2 linked regions of the Ovis aries genome follow. The main gene of each other region encodes a partner of the protein of the gene in region 2 in a complex. Links are inferred from orthologs where the notes say so. Each region holds a gene or a part of one and is shown on either strand. Other genes may lie near its edges.

Region 1 (9,854 bases), on a different chromosome or scaffold from region 2:
AAGCCAAGAAGCTGTCAGCACCCCCATCCTTGACTTCAGGGGCCCAAGAACTCTTTGCATAAAATATCTTCAGACCTAGGAGATGGTCAAAGGCACAAAATTTGAATGCTGGGAGGGAGGGTTGTTGAGGAGTCTGGGGTACCCTGAGCCCAGGGGTAGACTAAAGGTATGATTCAGTTCCCCTTCCCTGAAAGGGTGATTACTCCACTGGGCCTATCACCACAGAACATCTTCCATTACCAGGAAGCATCCTGCCCAGGCCTCCAGCACCCACCTTGGGGAAAAGGGTATCAAGTTGGCACAGGAAAGGCCCAGGGAAGGGGGCCACTCTGTACATTAATACTTTGGTGAGGTTTGGGGAGAAGCAGGACTCTACCCCTGGTTCCTGACTCAAACCCTCTCACTCAGCTGCATGCTGAACCCAGTGTCCACAGTATCCCCAGTCCTACACAAGGCCAAGCCCACGAACACTCCCAAGTGAGGTCCAAAGAGTCAGGGAATAGGGTGGAAGGGACCGCAGGCCGTCTTCTGAGAGAGAGCACTGGAACAGGTCACAGTTTCCGCTCCACAGGCTGCTGGAGACACAGTTCGCTGCCCGCAGAGATGATGGGCAAGTGATTGTCCATGTGGTAGCTGATGAGGTGACTGACACTCTCAAAGCGGTGATCCTTTGTCCGAACCTGGGGAGTGGGAACAGAGAAAGGAGATTCAGGTGAAGAGTCAGATAAAATCTCAGTCTCCAAGGCCGAGGAAGCTGGGATAGTCAAGAGGGTTGAGGCAGGAGAAAAAGATGGCAGGAGAGGGAGGGCTCTCAGTTCTGATCACTGAGGCTTCTCTGGGAAGAGAAGCTGGAGACAGATGTGGGAATGGGCAAGTCAGTGAACTGGGAAAAGGCAGAACAGACATGAGCCCAGAAGTCGTGAAACTGAAGGCTAGCTACTCCTTCCCTGACCTGGAGGAGGGCGGTATGTCCAAGAAGAGGATACACAGGACACAAAAAGACATGCAAAGGAGGCTGAGACTGCTGCAGAAACAAGAGTGAAGTCATGAGGGGCAGCGGGCGGCGCAGACAGGAGACAGGGCTCTGGTCTGACTCCTGAGTCTGCAGGAGCTGGGGAGGCCCCTGGCTCCTCTTGTGAAAAGTTTCAGGATATTTCGCCTCTAGACATCTGACATAGAGCACTACAATTCTGGCGGATGGTTTCCTTATTTGTCAAAAGAGGGACTAGTGAGATGACCACTTTCTAGCTCTCAAGGGCACAACGTTTGGGGACTGGCAAGGACTGAAGGGAATACAGCTCAGGTGAGGGATGTGAGAAGGGAAGGAACTCTAAACCACTAGACGAAGGAGATGCCAGACACCTGGGAACAGGGGAGGCCCAGACAGAGGTGCCCAGCAGACAAAGTCTAGGAAGCAGTGAGGCAGGAGCAGAGCCACAGGTAGGGGACTGCACCTTCCTTTCTGCCATGCCCACCTACACCCCTGCCACACTCACCACTCCCTCAGGGTCCACCAGGAGCAGGTGCTTGGGCTGCCCACTCTGCAGGCCGGTGAGCACGTACTGGCCCGGCGTGGTCGTGCTTTCCCGCACCAGGAAGTCCCCGTTGACTTGTAGCAGTGCCTCAGCCTCGCGCCGGCTCAGCTTCCCGTGGAACCAGGGCTCCCCTCGGAGCTGCTCAGCCATGGCTGTTGACTGGGGAGGTGGAGGCATTCGCAAGGCATCTTCAAAGGGCTCTGGGGATACAGAGAGAGGGCTAGGAGAGGCAGCTGACACAACCCTATGCTCAGGACCTAGACCTTTAGGGAGGGGAGGCCAGGAAGCAAAAAGCAGAGAGGCAGGAAAAGAGGAGGAATCAAGTGAGAAGATGGAGACACAGAAAGGCGAGAGGCACACTTACTCATATCAAAGAGGTCTCGGGGTGCACTACCATTGATGGCAGGATTGGGGGGCCCGGCCCCGGCCCCTGCTTGCCGGGCCTTGTCTAGGTTCTGGACATTGACGTACGAGGGGTCATCAAAGAGCTCTCTGCCTGCTGAGAAAACGGAGGCTTTAGAGGGGCCCCGCCCTGCTTCTCACTCCCCTCTGCCCCTCAGTCCCCTTCATACCTGAGCAGGGTGGCGGGGGCGGTATCTGTCTGCGGGCTTCTGGGTCTCCCCCAGCAGGCTGCCCCACAGGCTGCAGGGACCAAGACAGAGTGAAACCAGAGGCCCTAACCAGCTGCTCCCATCCAAGCCCCACCCGCCTCCATCCAAGCAACATACCAGCGTGGCTCCCAGGTGGCTGGGGGTCTGGGCACTGGGTGGAGTGGGTCGAGCAGCCCCTGGGAGGGCTCCTTCCCGAAGCCTCATGTCCACCACACCCCCGAGAGGTGGTTCCTTCCCCGGGAAGTCATTATAGTACTGATGGTCAGGGGGCTCTTCCTCCTCCTCATCCCAAGCTGAGCCATCAAAGCCAGCCATCCTGAGAGAGACAGGAGGGAGAAAGGAGTGTGGATGGGAGGACGGAGGGAGAACGGAACAGTGGTCACGTATGGGGCATTCCCTGAGGGGTAGGCCTGAGGATGGGTGTTTCACGTATAATCATTTCACTCTCTGGGCAACCGATAAAGCACATACTGTTTCCTTCTCCAGTTTTTTAGTTGAGGAAAATGATGATCAGGGATAAAAAGATTTTGGTCACACAACTAAGAAATGGTCAGACGGCATCACCGACTCAATGGATACGAGTTTGAGCAAACCTTGGGAGATAGTGGAGGACAGGGAGGCCTGGCGTGTTGCAGTCCATGGGGTCGCAAAGAGCTGGACATGACTTAGCGACTGAACCACCACCGCTACTGGTGGAGCCGAGTGTCAATTCAGAGTTTGCCTTAACGTCATGCCCTTGATCGTCACGCGGTCTCCCAAGAGGGAGGGGAGACACCAAGTAACCAGGGAGGGGGTGCCCTAGAATATCCCAACCCCTCCTCTAAATACTCGATCCTACTGGTCTGAGGTGGGAAACGTGACCATCTCAGGAAAGAGCCATCCTCCCTTGCCCAAATTCTTGATGGCTTCTAGAGGCAAGAACGTGAAGAACTAAACTACGTATGGACAGAAGCACAAAAAGACAGACCAGAAACGAGACGGCTGGGAAAAGAGAAGCCCGTCTAGCCAGGGACAAGCTGGACGTCCTGCACTGCAGCCCCGCCACGGGCGCCCGACGGGAAAAGCTGGCCCTGCAGCGGGCAGGGCCACGGAGCACCTTCCTGCCGGCCACAGGAAACTTAAGAATAGCAGGAAGCAGGGGCACGCAGGTTATTTCCTTCCCTGCCCTTTTCTGAGCTGGACTGTGGAAGAGCAGGCCTCCTTTTCCAGTTCTGGTCTGGGGCCCCCGGGAGTGGGCTGCCCCCCGCCCCCACCTGCCTCACCCGCGCACCTGTCGTGGGGGGTGACGAGCCTGGGTGGGTTCCTGAGGTACTGTTTGAAGCGCAGCTCGAAGGCCTGGCCAATGGTGCTGATGACGTCCTGAGCAAGCCCTTCGGGACACTCCAGGATGTGGCAGGCTGGGGGTGCAGCAGAGGCTGTTAGGGAGCTGGGCGGCGGGGGGACTGTGGGGCTGGGAGGAGGCACAGACGGGGCCCTCGGCAGGAGGGGCCCTCGGCAGGAGGAGCCCCCGGGTCCTGCTCACCTGCCCCTTGGACAGCCAGCCCCACCCAGTGCTCCCCATCCACACCTCACCTCTCTGATTCACTGGGTCTTTGGCAACATAGGCAACATACTCGGCTGTGTCCTGGGGTGGACAGAGGCAGAAGAGGCCAGTTAGCTAAACTGTATAGCCCCACCCTACTCCTGACCCCTTCAGGCCCCTTTCTCAGACACTGCCGCAATCCTAGCGGGCTCACTTCTCTTGCCAGTGTCCTCCCAATCCCTAGCCCCCTACTCTCCTCCCACCACCTAAGCTCCATTCCCCAACTCACCGGGTCCCCGCCGGATGCAAACGAGATGGACTGCATGTGGTGGTTGGCAATGATCTGAGGGTTAGGGCAGAGGATGGAGAAGGAAGGGAATGATGGGCATCAGGCAGCCTCAGAGTCTACTGGGCACCGCCCACCACTGGCTCAAGACCCTGGCGTCCCAGTCTCATCCTTTTGGCTTCTCAACGCATGTTCTCTTAATCTGCTCCTTCCCTACTGTTCCACTGCTCCCAAGCCTTCTCTCCCAGTGTCTTACCCTCATAACCAAGTTCCCATTTAGCCCTCCCATCGATGTTTCTGCCCACCCCACCCCCGCCGCCTCACCCCACCAACCTGTTTGCAGTCTGCGGCCATGAGGTTGAGGCTGCTGGTGGAGACGGTCAGAGTGATTGGCATTCCAGCAAATTTCAGGTTACTCCTCCCCAGAATGGAGCTGAGTGGACGGCTACAGGGCTAGGGAAGGGCCCACGGGTCTCAGAAGCTGGGGGGTCCCCCACACCAGGAAACCCCCACACTCCTGCCTTCTGGACTTCTCCCCACCTGCCCCACACTAGCCTTCCCCCTGCTCCTCCACATCTCCCAGCATCCCTAGCCCCACAGACCCCGGGTACCTTTCTCCTCCTTGTTGCCCCCTTAGCACCCGGCACAGCCTCACACACCAGACTGATGGCCTCCCTGGGGAAAGAGGAATACTCAGACCCAGAGCCTGCCTCCCACTCGGCTGGGGCCGCCACAGGGCTGGGGGAGGGGAAGGCCAGGCCAGACTCCAGGGGCACTCCAGGCTCTTTGTCGTGGTGGATTGAATTAAGGGCCTTTAATATTTGATGACACTGAGAGGCCGCTTCCTGGCTGATTGGGTTAGGGCCTCAATGGGTCTGGCCCCACCCCCTTCTAGCTACCAAATGTCCCATCCCCTTCCCAAAGGCAGCAGCAACCTTCCAGCTACCCCCATTTTCCACTCCAGCTCTAGCTGCTAGCTGCCTCTGCCCACCTCCCCCACAACTCCCTGGGCTGGATAATAAGGAGCCAGGGCAGAGTTGCCCCTTTACATTAAGACTTAGACTCACTTCCCTAACTTTCTCTCAACCCCCTTTACCACCTAAAGATAAACCATCACTAGCACCACCAAGTGGCCCATTCTCCCCACCTCTCATGAATCCTGGGACTGCCCCTCCCCCAAGCCCCACTGACCTGGTGACCTGAGTCCGGGTGTTGAAGTCAAGGGCGCGCATAGACTGCAGGACCTCCACACAGCCCATGTACTGAGGGGAGGGACAGGGGACACCGGTAAGCCACCTCCCCCCTCTTCACAAAGGGCCCTGGGACTTCTCCTTCCTTGGTCCCTCAGGGAAGTCAGGATGAAGAAGTTCTGCCACTGCCCACGGATATACCCCACAACATGCAGGACAAGAGGGGCAAAGAGAGAAGGGCAAGCTAGGCGGACCGCATGCCTATGGGAAGGCGTGACGGGCATCGGGTGGGATGGAGTGACATCTCCAGAAAGCGGGGAGGAGACTGGAGGGGATAGTCAAGAGTCACTCATTCCAACACTTACTAAGGGCTTGTGCTGGGCTTTGTGCTAAGCATGGCGGGGTGGGGGTAGGGGAGTTACCAGAAGGAAGGGGCCCCAGACAGAGCTGGAAGGGAAGAGGTGAGAGAATTGGAGAAGGGGCAAGAAAGGTTTAAGAAACAGGACACCGAAACCAAGGGAGTTGCTGGGGAAGAGCAGGGGGGGAGAAAGAGATTAGTAAGCAGAGGAACTGGAGGGGTCCGGGAGGGAGTGGGAGGGAGAGGATGTTCACTCACCCGAACCAAGTAGGAAACCCCGGGTCCCATGACTTTGTCGTTGGGATGCAGCCAGCCCCGTGTGGGCTTATTGACAAAGCTCCCGTGGCGAGTCCACTCCTCGCCCCCCAGCTGGCCCCCTTCCACCCGAGTCCTGCGCCCGCCGCCTCCACTCAGCTTGTTCATGTCCTGGAGGAGGGGCAGGGGGCCTGAGTCCAGCATGACTGCCCCTGCGACCCCCTCCCCGTCCTCGTTTGCCCTTCCTGGCTCCCCTTTCGGGCCTGGGCGCCCCCCAGCTGGGCTGGCCAGCTTCAGGCTGCTCATCCGGGGGAAGAAGGAGCACAGGGTGGTGGGGCTATCGTCCCCAGGCACAGGTGGCAGCACGGGCCCCAGGGACGAGGCTGATGGGGACGGCAGCTCCTCCGGTGGGGTGGACCCTGAGGCCCCCTCCTCCAGCGACGACAGAGACTCATTCCGAAGTGGGTTGTACTTGGGCTTGGGGGGCAGGAGATCCATGGCTGGGGTGAAAGGGAGGCTGCTACCCAGCCTGGCCCCCCTGCCAGTCAGGGCAAGGGGGCCAGGCAGGGGGCATCCCAGGCCCTTAGCCTGATCGGACCTCTATGGCCCAGGGATCTCAAGGGTCCTGGAGAGGGAGAGGGACAAGTAGCTCTGGCTTCCCCGGCTCAGACCCAGACAGTTTCAGGCCCCATCCCCGCCCAGCCTGGAGCCTCTTCTCAGGCTGAGAACAGAACAGGCTGGACCTAGAGCTGCCTAGCTCCTCCCCAGGGGCGGGGAGCTAAGGGGAGAGACCAATCCCAAGGACAGTGCTGACTCACAGGCTCTGAGGGGCTGAGCCCCCAACACTGCCCCAACCCAGAACTCTCGCAGGGCAGAGGGATCCATGTCCCCCTGCCTGGTTCCCCCACCCTACCATACAAACAAGTAACTGGGGGAGGAGTAAAGTGGGGGCTGGGGGAGGATGGAGGAGTGAGAAGGAAAGGAGGGCGATAAGAGGAGGTCTGGATCAATCCAGACCGGACAAGGGCAGGCCAAAGAGAGCAGGAAGCTGAGGGACCGGTGGGGCCGGGGGGGGGGGGGGGGGGGGGGGGGGGGCGGCGGGCGAGGAGGAGGTTGAGGGAGGAAACAGAGGCAGCTGGGGGTGGGAAAGGGAGGGGATCCCTGAGCTCAGCAATTCCCTTCCTGTCCTGGTTGAACACTCAAATTCCCTCAGCCTCCAGCCCCAGCGCCCCCCCACCACTGCCCCACAGAGGGGTGGTGGCCCTAGGGAGCCTGAGCCATTAGCCTCCTTGGCTATCACAGCTGTGGAGGGAGCTAAAGAAATGGGAAAAAGAAGGACATGGTCCCAGTGGATGCAGGGAGGGGCCAAGAGGAAAGGCAAAGCTGTTAAAGTAAGAGGAATAAAGTCCAAGCTGGGTGGCACATCAGGGAGCCACCGGGCAGGAGCTGGAGCAGAGGACAGTTTGGTGGAGGCTTGTTCTCCATGCATGGCGCCTACCATGCCAAGGAGCAGAGGCCCAAGCCAAATACTCTTCTGCCCCCCTCTTCCACAGGAAAGTAAGCTGTCAAGGGCAGAAGGGGTGAGGGGTGGCCAGGGCATTGACACTAAGGTCAGATCCCTAGACCTCCAGGTGAACACATACCCCTCCTTTTTAGTAGTGACCAGAGAGAGGGCAGGTATCCACCAAGGAGCATGATACCCCTCATATCAAGGAAAGAGTCTGACCACAGGAGATGGGGCAGTGCAACGGCTGTCCAAGAGAAGTGGCCAGGAAGGGACAGAGGCGCAGAAGTCAAATCTGTGCTCATGAGAAAGGGGTGCCAGAAGAGGACTGAGGCTGGACACAGGGAACAGTCCCAAACTCATTCCTCCCACCCACAGCATCCTGCCACAGCTCTGCTCCAGGAGGCCACAGGGGAAGTTGGAAAGCAACCAAATAGAAGTAGTAGTAAAAGATACATATACCCTCAGCAGGCTCACCTCGGAATTACCTATCTTTAAATTTACTTCAGAATATTAAAAAAATGCAAATTATTGTGATTACAGTGATTAACAATCCTGACAATGAAAACATGTTAGATACTGTGCTTACCACCGCCCCCGTAGTCCTGAACCCAGGAGAGCTTTACCACCCCATGCACCACTCCTGAGAAGAAAACCTATCACTGTTTCCTAAGGCCTCAGCACTCAGAAACAGAGAAAGAGGAAAGTATTCTGCCAAAGCCTCACCGCCCCCCACCCCCCACACACACACAAGCACACACCAGGATATCCTATCTTTAGAGGTGAGCATTCTGTGGGTGCCTGCAGAATCCAGAGACAAGGGATGACCTACAGGTGTGGGCATGTTTAGAAAAGAAAGAGGAAGTAGGGCTCTTTAAATTTACGGAGGAAGAAAGGAGATTGCTATTGGCAATCTGAAGGAAGAAAGGGGATTGCTACTGGGAATCTGAACGACTGGGTGTGGGGAAGAAGCTGCATGTGGCTTCTCAGCTCAGCAGGGAGGAGGAGGCAAGAGAGGCGGAAAGTAGCAGGAAATGGCGAAAGCCTCAGGAATGTTTCCAGCAGGGAAGGCTGGGCAAGCAGGACCAGGAGAAATGCCCAGACTAGAACTCTGTCTGGGGGAGGGGAAGAGCCAGAGAAGTGGTGGGGCCTGAAGAGTCCCTTAAAAAAAAAAAATCAAACATCAAAAAGGACACTGTTACCTACACCCATTCCAAGCCACCGTCTTCAGGTGGTAGAAAACTTTCTCTTCTGTCACACCCACATGTCACACATCGACAAATCCACGGCCCTACCCAGCTCCCGTCGTACAGGTATGAGACAAACAGCTGTTTCTGGGGTGGAGTCGGTCCTGGGAAGGGAAACTCAGGGAGTGGGGCAGGGAATCTGTGAGCAAGTCTCCCTCCCACTCTCGTGCCAAACCCCAAGTCCAGCCCCCTTCAAGTAGGTCCACCCTTGGAAGGGGCTAAGGGAGAGGGAAAGGGCTGCCTCTAATCTCTTACTCCACAGAGTCAGAGATGTGAACTTTTGACCCTATCCAGTGGAGCCTAAGAGCTCAGGAAAACTGAGCCAAGGGCCCCAAAGAGAAAAGGAACGAGGAAGCGCAAGCAGGTGAAGTTTCTGGGATTGAAGACAAAGCTCCTGAGGCGATGACAAGGGTCCAACCGGGATAACGCTCCTGAAGGGGCGTGGCCCCTCAAGACGCGTGCACCAGAGACTCCCAGGAGGCGAGGCTTCTGGACGATCCGACGTGGATTAAGGAAGGGGCGAGGCTTCTAAAGGGGCGGAACCCTTAGGGAGGCGTGGCCTCACGAATTCGAATAGTTCTTTGAGTAGCAGGGTTCTGCCCTTTTGGGAGTTAGGCTTTTGATAGACAGGGGTTAACGGAGAATAGTCTCGAGAAGGCGGGGTTTCGGGGAATCGGAAGGACTAATGCAGGGGTTTGGAAGCATGTCTGGGGGTGGGACTTCCAGGAAAGCTGGACGACAGGGTAGGATTGGGGACAGTAAATGGAATATAAGTCGGGGTTCGGAGAGCCCCCTGAAGTTGGGAGGTGGGACTTCCGGGGAGGGGGTCGCAGAGGGCGGGACTTGTAAATGAAGACCGGAAGTAGGGTCCCGGGAGAGGGGTTCCGGGGTAGAGGAGTGGGTCACCTAAGAAGAAAAATGTCCCAACTCACCAGGACTTCATGGAGTCTCCGCACCGCACCGCGGGCCGATTTGGTTCCGGATCACGCCACTGTCTCCTCAGGTTGCCGCTCCAACTTTCTCCCCGGGCCCGGCCTCCCTGGAGAAACTTTATTGCACTCACTTCCGGCCTCACTAACCCCTGACCCTGTACCTCATTGTCCCTCCTTCACCCGTCCCTCTTTCCCGAATCAACCAATGGCAGTGCGCGGACGAGCACAGTAGCAGTGATAGCCAATAAAACGTCTATTTTTTACTTACGGCAATTCTTGAGCAATGTTCATTCCAATGAGGACTTGAGTAGAAGCAAACCTAAGCCAATCGGAGGCTTGAAGGTGGGGTTGTCCCGCCTTCCGGCAGAGGGACCAATAGAAAGCGCAGGCGGCGTGTTTGAAAGCGAGGCCAAA
Region 2 (9,854 bases):
TCACTTCTGGGATCTAGCAGGTTCTGCCTTGTGCTGTGAATTCTCCTTGGATAAGTTTATGACAAAACTGTCTTATTCATGCTTCTCTCTCTCTTTTTCTTTTTTTGGCTGTGCCAGGTCATAGTCGCGGCATGAAGACTCTTAGTTGCGGCCTGCAAGATCTAGTTCCCTGACCAGGGATCGAACCCGGGTCGCCCTGCATTGGGAGTTTGGAATCTTAGCAACTGAACCACCAAGGAAGTCCCTTATTCATGCCTCTCTGTCCCACAACACTATGGCACACAGCACAGAACCTGGCTCACATGGGCGCCTGATCAGTGTTCACGTGAGTCGATTCCTAGGCAGGTTGATAAGAAGTCCGGGGGTCCCCAAGGAGACGGGGATCTGGGATTCTCAAGGAGGAGGAAAGGACAAACTTTTTTTCCCTCTACATTCTTTAGGATTATATATCAATAATGTATCCTGCTTGAGGACAGTTTCTGGGAAAAAACCTTGATGTGACAGGGGAAGAATCCCTTGAGGACAAGGATGCCCACGCCCTGAGGTTTGAGGGGTGCTGATACCATGCAACCACAAAGACCATGCCTCCAGTGGGGAGGAGGGGACAGGGACAGCCAGGGGCTGGGACCATGGCCAAGTCATTGCACTCCCGAGCCCCTGCTTGAGCAAAGAACAGACCAGGCCAGCAGCTCTAGGCAGGGAGGGACAAGGATGAGCTGGGCTATAAGCCCCGCCAGGTCAGGAACCACACATGACCCCTTTGCACCCATGTGGACCGAGGGCCTGGCACAGAGCAGGTGTTCAGCGAGCATGTGTCCCTGGAGGATGTGATAACGGCAACAGAGGGTCCAGACCTGAGGCCGGCGGGCACCCAACACCCTGGCAGGAAGGGAGAGGGAGGCCTCAGAGCTGCAGTGGCTGCCTGGGCTTCCCTCGTGTGATGGGCTGGAGCTCACCGGGGACGAGCTGTTCCTGTGCGGCTGGGAGGCAGGAATAAGGGCTGCTGACCCAGGGCCTTTGTTCTGCGGCTTCAGTGGGGCGGGCAGCCAAAGGAAACACACTCTGGCTGGGATCCCTCCCACATGCCCCACATCAGACCAGGAACAATCAGCCCATAGAGTAGCAGCGGGCCTCCCTCCCACCCTGGTGCCGTCATGGTCTGTGTGTAAGCCTCTCCTAGGGGCAACTTTTTTTCCCTCAGTCCCAGCCTTCTCCTCATGTGTCTCCCACGTCAAACTTAACCATTCCCTTTGGTGCCTTGAATATGACGTGTGTGTGCTTAGTCGCTCAGTTGTGTCCGACTCTTTGCAAGCCCGTGGTCTGTAGCCCGCTAGGCTCCTCTGTCCATGGGATTCTCCAGGCAAGAATACCGGAGTGGGTTGCCATGCCCTCCTCCATGGGATCTTCCCAACCCAGGGATCAAACCCAAGTCTCCCGCCTTGCAGATGGATTCTTTACTGTTTGAGCCACCAGGGAGCCCTGGATACAACATAAATTACTGTTAAATATTAGAAGGCAGCAGTCCCCAACCATTTTAGCACCAGGGATGGGTTTCACAGAAAACAATTTTTCCATGGACTGGGGTTGGGGGGGATGGTTTGGGGATGATTCAAGAGCATTCCATTTATTCTGCCCTTTATTTCTATTATTAATCCATCAGCTCCACCTCAGATAATCGGGCATTAGATCCCGGATGTTGGGGACCCCTGTGAAAAGGAACCGAAACTCTTGCCTCACTCCTGAATTCAAATTGCTGGCTGTGTCTGTGTGCCCGTGCATATCTGATCTCTCTTTCCCCTAATCTCTCTCATATCAATTTTTTGTTATAAGAAGATATTTAATTTGATCAATCTCATATGCTATAAAATATTACCACAAATTGAAGATTTTAACATTCTAGGAACAGTATTCCTTTTCTCTGATACCATTTTTCTCCAGTCTCTCAAATTTTGTCGACTTGAGTAAACAGTGTTGTAGGTAATATTACTTGAGTATGCTTTAGAATGACACACACTTACCTTTCTCATCAAGATTTCCTCAAGGCCAATGTTAAAGTGAACACCTGGGTAGATTAGCTCCGCTGGTTAGAGCCCCAGCGCAAGCGAAGCCCATCTGGGTCATAGGCTTGATCATCCCAGAACCCAGGGATACTCTCTGTTCAATGGCCACACAATACAACTGCAAACTGGTCCCAACCAAACTGCAGATATCCTCAGTCTCTCTCTCACAATGGGGATTAAGCCACAGTGACTACAGCCCAGCAAAAATGTATCCCTAGTGCTCAGGAACAACTCAGACTGCCTAACTGCCTCTGGGAGTGTTGTCAGCGTGTCTGCAGATAAGGATCATGTTAACTTAGTTGGACTTCTAGCTAGGGAAGTACCCCAGGAGTGGGCTTTGGGGTAAGCAGAAACCAGCTTGAGAGTATCATGGGCCTCAAGATTTTACTGAATTTTGTAATGAGGTAGACAACAATTCAGCATCCTGCAGGTAGAAGGATTCAAACTCATAGTCCCCAGCCTGCAGTCTGGGACTGTCTGCGGCAGCCTGCAGTCTGGGACTGTCTGCGGCAGCCTGCAGTCTGGGACTGTCTGCGGCAGCCTGCAGTCTGGGACTGTCTGTGGCAGCACCCCCAAAAACCATCTGTGCTGTGCAATACGGTGGCAACTAGCCACACATGGCTCCTGAGGAACACAGAAACTAACTTTTTAAATTTAATTTGATTTAAACTTTGTACTTAAGCTTTCATTAAACTTGATTCATTTAAATTTAAATAGCCACCATTTTGGACTGTAGAGATCTAGAGTACAAAAAGTAATAATATACCAACAGTGATAATAAAATAGTACCAACACTTAATAAGAGTACCAACACTTAATAGTACCAACACTTACTATTTTTCAGTCACTCTCCTAAGTGTACTGGCTCATTAAATGTGCTCCAATATCTTGCAAAGACACTACTTGTTTTCTACATGTTGCGTGATGAAAATATAAATTCATGTAAAATAATCATTACTAACTTCATTACATATTCTGACATCGTGTAGTTTCCAAACCTATGTATACTAAAATTCTAATTAGCATTAGTCAGTGACTTTTTTTTAAAGTGAGAAAAAGGGTTGGAGGACTTTCCTGGTGGTCCAGTGGTTAAGACTCCACTCTTCCAATGCGGGGGACGGGGGGCAAGTTTCGATCCCTAGTCGAAGAACTAAACTAAGATACCACATGGTATGGCCAAAAAAAAAAAAAAACTTTTTTAATTTAAAAAAGGGGTTGATTCATATCCTCAAAAAGATTAGAAACCAGTGACTTAAAATGTGAGCTGAAGGGCAAATGAGAGAAAAGAAAAAAACTATCTTCACTTTCAATTTTCCCCACTCTTTCCCACCCTCTGAAAGCAGACACTCATTTCCTTCCTTGTGTCCCTCGTGAAAGGACAGAGGGAGCTGAGGGGAATTAAAGAGAACCTTGCTTCTATTTCCTGCCCTTGGAGTGGAACACCATCAGCTCCCTCTGTCCCTGAGCCACCCTGTGCCCACCTCAAGCCCTAGCCTGCATCCATTTCCAGAGGCTGCAGATGCGTGAGTGTGTGTGGGTACCAGGATGGAAGGCATGTGCAATTCTACTCACCTGAGCACATCTCCCCCTTGTAGCGGACACAGGAGAAGTCATCACACTCACAGTACTTGCCGGTGATCTTGCCAAAGTCACTGCTGTGGCAGACGCACTGGCCACAGAGACACTCGCCCCGCTGGCTGCAGATGGGCTGGCCCTCCCGGGGGCTGCACTCGTCCTGTTGCGAGGGGCGGTAGTCCTCTTCCGAGCACTCACACTGGGACCCCAGCCAGCCAGGCCCACAGCGGCACACCCCACACTCAAAGGTCCCATTGCCATTGTTGCAGCGGTGGCTGTAAGGCTCAGCCTCAGCCTGGCAGGCACAGTCACAGTCGAAAGTGACCTGCACAGTGAGGCTGTCTTTGAAGCCCACAGGCTTGATGGTGAAGGACTTCTCCTTCTTCTGGGGACAGCCACGCACTTTGGCCTCAATGCTGAAGCTCACCTGGACGGAAAGTAAGATCGTGTTCAGACACAGGGGACCCTGTTGACACTCCAGCACTGGAGGGAAAGAAGCTGTTCCCTGCCCTGCCCAGGAATACTCAAACTGGGTGTCCTGTCCCCCGCAAGCCAAAGTTCCTCAGCTTTGCCACTACCAGGGTCTGCAAAGCCAAAGCAAGACCTGGGGACAGTTGTGCCATTGTGACCTGCTGGCTGGGTGCAGACATGGCTTATAATCACGAGATAGCTTTTAAAAAAAAAAATAAATAAACCAGTTCATGCAGAGCAGAACCTATGATCTTATAAACACTCTGTCTTTGGCCAACTAAACTAGCTGATTACATAATATCAAGGTACACAAAGCACTATTTTGTGGCATTGTATGGTAACCCTGGGGCTTCCCGGGTGGCTCAGTGGTAAAGAATCTGCCTGCCAATATAGGAGATGAAAGAGACACGGGTTCAGTCCCTTGGTGGAGAAGATCCCCTGGAGAAGGAAATGGCAACCTGCTTCAGTATTCTTGCCTGGAAAATCCTATGGACAGAGGAGTCTGGTGGGGCTACAGTCAATGGGGCCACAAAAGAATCAGACATGACAGCAACTAAACAGCAACAACGGTAACCCTAACCCTAACCTATACAGTGTCACATAGTGGCCAACCTCAGGCTCAAGACCTACTGTTCAATTTCTTTATAGTTTTTGTTGTTCTTTCTTTATTTATTTATTTTGGTCCCGCCTTGCAGCATGCAAGATCTTAATTCCCCAACCAGGGATGGAAACCATGCGCCCTGCAGAGGAAGCCCAGGGTGATAACCACCAGACCACCAGGGAGATCCCTGTTCAATTTCCATATGACATTTCATCACTTGTGCAATCAAACATGTTTCAGGCCAACGTTTCTTACTAGGGTGTGTGCACATGTGCCTAGAATGTAGACAGAAAGAGGGATAGATATAGACATTAAATAATACAGACATGGATGATACAACTATAGATAAGCCCCTCTTTTCTTCCCACCCCTTTCACCATCCCTCTCCCCTAAGGCAGAAACTGAGGAGAACGAACCACTAGGGAAGGAAAGCCACAGAGGGACTAAGAAGGCAAAATGAACGTTTGCATTCTGAAATTCCATGATGGTGGGTATTTTCACCTATTCTGTTGGCTGCCAAATCTTCAGCAGCTAGGACAATGTCTGGCACGAAGTCAGGGCTCAATAAATATTTACAGATGACATTTCCATTTACGTTGTGAAGCAAAGAAAGGCATTACTTTAGAGGAGGGTGGAGACCAGTAAGGGGCTGAAGGCAAGAAATATCATCTGCAATCGACTGTGCATAAATAGTCACCTAAGTGCAAGTTTTTTAAAAATCCTGACAGGGAAGTTACTTAACGGAGAAAGTTTAGGCAACAGAAGCCTCGGAGGCAAAGGCTGGCAGCTCCATTACATCGGACTTGTAAGGACGTTCAGGAAGAAAGTACAGGGAAGGAAGGGGTGGGTGCCCACAGAGGTTCCAGGGCACGAGCCAAGGTGAGTGCCCCAGCGTCAGCCCCTGTCCAGCCCACCTCACCGTGTCTCCAATCTTGAGTCCAACACAAGACTTCAGGCCTGGGATGACTTCGTTGTTGAGACATGTGGCGTTGAAGGATAAGGACAGCTCCTCGGGGAGGTCACGCACTTCCAGCTCTACTTTAGAGCGGATTTTCTGAGCAAAAAAGGGCAAAAGAAGGCAAGAAAACGGGCTGAGAGGACACAAGTAGGGGCCAATTACATCCCAAGCAAAAATCACCAGGTGGTCCTGGACTCACCTACCCCCCTAAATGCTGAGGTCCACCTGCCAGCTGCCACAGCATCCTTAGGAGCCTGTATCCCACTAACCTTCCAGCCCAAGACCTGCTCTCGCTCTTTCTCCACTTGTGTCTAGGTGAGTCTGGGTAAAATCTAAACCAGCTGTGCCCTCCTGCAGGCGTGCTGATACTGGTCGCCTTGAGTAGTACCACTTTCTACCTACGTTTTCATCAGCCTCACATTCCCCATAATTCAGCTCCCTCTTTCCTCTGTTGTTGGAGCCCAGCTCTCCCTCAGTCTGTACCCACTCCCAGTTTCAGGGCCCTGCTCCTTAACATCATCCCCATTGTCTCTTTCCATTTCACCTTCTCTAAGCATTTCCTCTGTTGTTCCTACGGCTCCCTCCATCCCCTCCTGAGCCACTTCTGTTGCAGAAGGCTGCATTCCTCCCAGTGCTGCCTATCGCCTAGCCTCTAGAAGCACAAGAAGAAGGCAGTCAAGGCTGCATGGTGGACTAGCTGCCAGGACTCTCAAATCTGAGGCCTCCTGGGTAATGCCAAGGGCAGTGGACTCTTAGCGGGTCTATTCCCAGTGTAAGACACTTACCCCATAAGCATCCACAATGAGCTGGAGAACATTGCTGGAATCAGTAGACAGAACCCCCACTGTGGTCCCTGGGATGAGCTCACTATAGTTCTAGAAAAGAAGACAAAGATATCTAGGAATGACTGATAAAGATGGTGATCTCCAAAGGCCCTCCCCAAATAGATGGAGGGTCTTGAAAAGAAAATTGAGGGAGGGATGGGATATTTTACTTATCACTGCCAGGAATATATCTAGCAGCTTTTCAGCCCTGAGAAAAATTACAGAGAACCTCTCACACCACTCTTCCCACTAAATTACTCTCCTCCACCTCTGCAAACGTCAATACACCCATCCTTGTAGGTTCAAGGTTGGAGGAGAGAGGTTCACCAAAAGTAATCATTAGCTCCCAGGTCTTTCCTGATTGGGGACCATGGCCAAAGGTAGTCTGGGTTGGTTCCCTGAGATAGGTCCACCCATCACAGACCCCACTCCCACTCCAGGAAGCCCCGAAGGTATAGTCACCTGGTAGAGATTGACTACACTTTCAGTCACTGCAAAGATCAAATTGATGTTTTTCTGGGATAGCTTCTCAGTCATCAGCCCCAAGGAGGGATAATCCTGTAAAAAGGGAGGATGTGGGAATTAGTTAAGAAGTAAGAAGTCTATTCACATACATCCCTGGATTCTAAACTTTAGGACTTGGTTGATTGGAGCCATGGCCCAGACAGTGGTGGGGCTTTAACTTTTTCACCCCATGACAATGAGAAGCAAACACAAACTCAGGTGTGAACTCAGGATAGATGAAGAGATACAGGCTTGTAGTATCAAAACTAAACACCTCTTTCTTCCTACTCAGATGTGAAGCAGCCACACCAAGGAGCAGCTTCCTGGACCAGGTACTGCCAGGCCTCGTCGTTTTGATGCCCACTCCTGTTTTGCGGCTCCTGACAAATGCCTTGGCTTGGTGCTCACAGTACTCTGCCATGTGATCTCAACTTTCCTTTCCAGTCATCATGCAACCTCTCTCCCCTTTTCACTCACCACTATCTGGAACCCTGTCTTTCTCCCACCTGAAGTGGACTTCTTTTTGTTAACCCTCCTTCCTTAGGATCCAGCTCAGGTCTCACCTCTGCCAGGAGGCCTTCCTTGACCACCCCAATTCACAATGAGCTTTCTTCTTTTGAATACCTAAAGCCTTTATCAAATGTTTCACCTAATTAGCATTAATCATGCACCTTCTGTTATTGGTACCATATCTTCTTGACTAAACCAAAAACTCTTTAAGAGCAGGGCATTATATAGTCTTGTTAACATTCTCCAACCCCAGTAAGGGCATGCCTAGTGTGTGTGTGTTCAGTCGCTTCAGTTATGTCTAATTCTTTGCCACCCCATGGACTGTAGCCCGCCAGGCTCCTCCATCCATGGAATTCTCCAGGCAAGAATACTGGAGTGGGTTGCCATACTCTCCTCCAAGGGATCTTCCCAATCCAGGGATCGAACCCACGTCTCCTGAGTCTCCTGCACTGCAGGTAGGTTCTTTACCACTGAGACACCAGGGAAGCCCCAAGGCCTTGCATAGACTAAATGTCAGTCACTATAGACTCACCCATTGCTTGGTAGTGCTCAACCTGCATATTGCTGATACCAAAAACTCAAGCCAAAAAGGCAGTGCTGACGAATTATGAACATATCTCTGGAATCCTAGACCTTTCAGGGAGCTCATGAGATCATGAAACTCAGGTTCCTACCCTTACACAGGTGTACATTTAAGCCACCTAGATGGAGTAATTGCTATATTGTCTTTAAGAAATGAAGAGTTCCCATCTCCCCCTATATACTCAGAGTATCAGTATTCTGCAGGTCTGTACATTTTCTTTATGGTTTACTGCAATTTCTCTTATTTCCATGTAAAATCCTTTCCTTTGTTTTACCTACTGTGGACATAGAAAACAAATTCTAAGAAGTCTTCTCAAACAGAGTAGTGGTTACCAGAGGGGAAGGGGTGGAGGAGGATGAAATGGATAAAGAGGATCAACTGTATGGTGACAGATGGAAACTAAATTTGGGGTGGTGAGCATGGTGAAGTGTATGCAGAAGTAGAAAGATACTGATGTACGTCATGAAACATATCATGTTATAAACCAATGTTACCTCAAAAAAAATAATAGCTTTTAAAAAAGTCTTCTTGGGACTTCCCTGATGGCTCAGTGGCTAAGACTCCAGGCTCTCCATGCAGGGGCCCTGGGTTCAATCCCTGGTCAGGGAACTAAGATCCCACATGCTGCAACTGAGAGTTCATATGCCACAATGAAAATCAAAGATCTAAGTGCTGCAACTGAGACCCAATGCAGCCAAATAAATAAATAAAATATCTTTTAGGGTTTTCCATATTAAAAAATAATAATAAAATTTTTTTAGTTTTTAACTTTAAAAAGTCTTCTCATGTATCAGCTAAACCATCCTTTAGCCCTTGTATTCCAGCTAAATGACTCTAAGCCCTTTATCCTTTCCTTACAGGACTGGCTCGCCGTGGTTGGCCAGTCTTTGTCTCTTTTTCCTCTGTCTTCTTCCAATAACCACAGAAAGCATGATGCTTCAAGAAGGGGCTAATCTGTACACAGTGACAGGATGGCCCTGCTTTCCAGCTGAACATGTAAAAGTCCTCTGGGTCCATTCTGGATGCCATGAGGCTGCAGCTGGTGCTAGAGGCAGTGGAGGTAGCAGTAACACTGACCCCAGCCAGGACCATCTCTAATGGTTGTGCAGGTTGTACCCTGGATGAAGACAGGCTGCAAAGAGCCCTGTATCTTCCCCAGAGGAAGGCCTGTCATTTTCATACTCACACAAAGACTCTGCCTGAGTTAGGGCAGTCCTGGCCACAGTGAATAGGAACCATAAGTGGAAAAAAGAATCTCACCATGGTAGTGGAGGCAGAATAATGGTTGTCATTGCCCACATGACACTGCCCATCATTGGGCTGGACGATGCCTGCCAGCCTTCCATCCAGCGCTATATGGGTCTTGGCATCAGTGGTAAACACCAGCAAGTGGGAGGCATCATTCCTCCAGCCAATCTTCTCCTGTTTTTAAAAAAAAAAAAAGGTAAAAGACAGCAACTTTAGCTATGTCACTGGTACAACACAAAGACCCAAGGAGTTCCCAATCTGAAGGGCTAGACATGGGCTGGAGAATGGCCTCAGTCCCAGTCCTTGGAACACAAGCTGGAGCTATCCAACTCAGCAGTTTCTGTTCTCTTAGAAAAATAGTCTCAGAGCTCACTAGCTCAAGGAGCTGAAAGACACCTACTTCATCTCCAAATAGAACTTCTTCAATGAGAATCACACGGCCCATCCAAAAACCCACCTGCATCTACAGAGCTGGGCTGGGCTAGAAGAAATCTTGCCTGGACATCTGCCCAATTTGCTG

The links. Proteins that work in one complex are often made in the same cells at the same time.
Region 1: the proteins of ITGB3 (region 2) and SHC1 are in contact, whole or in part, in an NMR structure (PDB 2L1C), measured with the Homo sapiens proteins. The link is inferred for Ovis aries from reciprocal best matches to the Homo sapiens genes ITGB3 and SHC1. Residues at the interface, in NP_000203.2 of Homo sapiens: Trp765, Asp766, Thr767, Ala768, Pro771, Leu772, Tyr773, Lys774, Glu775, Ala776, Thr777, Ser778, Thr779, Phe780, Thr781, Asn782, Ile783, Thr784, Tyr785, Arg786, Gly787, Thr788; in NP_892113.4 of Homo sapiens: Ser175, Met176, Arg177, Asn182, Arg184, Thr185, Gln186, Thr188, Arg189, Glu190, Ser193, Leu194, Arg208, Arg209, Lys210, Arg214, Pro215, Leu216, Ser217, Ile219, Met257, Gln258, Ser259, Ile260, Ser261, Phe262, Ala263, Ser264, Gly265, Pro268.

What each region holds. Positions count from the first base shown.
Region 1 is NC_056054.1:105,188,192-105,198,045, forward strand, and holds the start of SHC1 (SHC-transforming protein 1), read right to left. Parts: upstream 9,573-9,854; 5' UTR 9,441-9,572; exon of another isoform or gene 8,474-9,440; coding exon of another isoform or gene 8,468-8,473; exon of another isoform or gene 8,464-8,467; intron 8,423-8,463; 5' UTR 6,256-8,422; coding exon 5,761-6,255; intron 5,217-5,760; coding exon 5,146-5,216; intron 4,630-5,145; coding exon 4,566-4,629; intron 4,408-4,565; coding exon 4,288-4,407; intron 4,012-4,287; coding exon 3,958-4,011; intron 3,771-3,957; coding exon 3,719-3,770; intron 3,544-3,718; coding exon 3,417-3,543; intron 2,463-3,416; coding exon 2,264-2,462; intron 2,178-2,263; coding exon 2,108-2,177; intron 2,035-2,107; coding exon 1,900-2,034; intron 1,736-1,899; coding exon 1,497-1,735; intron 681-1,496; coding exon 552-680; 3' UTR 1-551. UniProt on the Homo sapiens protein: Signaling adapter that couples activated growth factor receptors to signaling pathways. Participates in a signaling cascade initiated by activated KIT and KITLG/SCF.
Region 2 is NC_056064.1:46,088,063-46,097,916, reverse strand, and holds part of ITGB3 (integrin beta-3), read right to left. Parts: intron 9,509-9,854; coding exon 9,347-9,508; intron 7,048-9,346; coding exon 6,952-7,047; intron 6,541-6,951; coding exon 6,451-6,540; intron 5,762-6,450; coding exon 5,627-5,761; intron 4,063-5,626; coding exon 3,633-4,062; intron 1-3,632. UniProt on the Homo sapiens protein: Integrin alpha-V/beta-3 (ITGAV:ITGB3) is a receptor for cytotactin, fibronectin, laminin, matrix metalloproteinase-2, osteopontin, osteomodulin, prothrombin, thrombospondin, vitronectin and von Willebrand factor.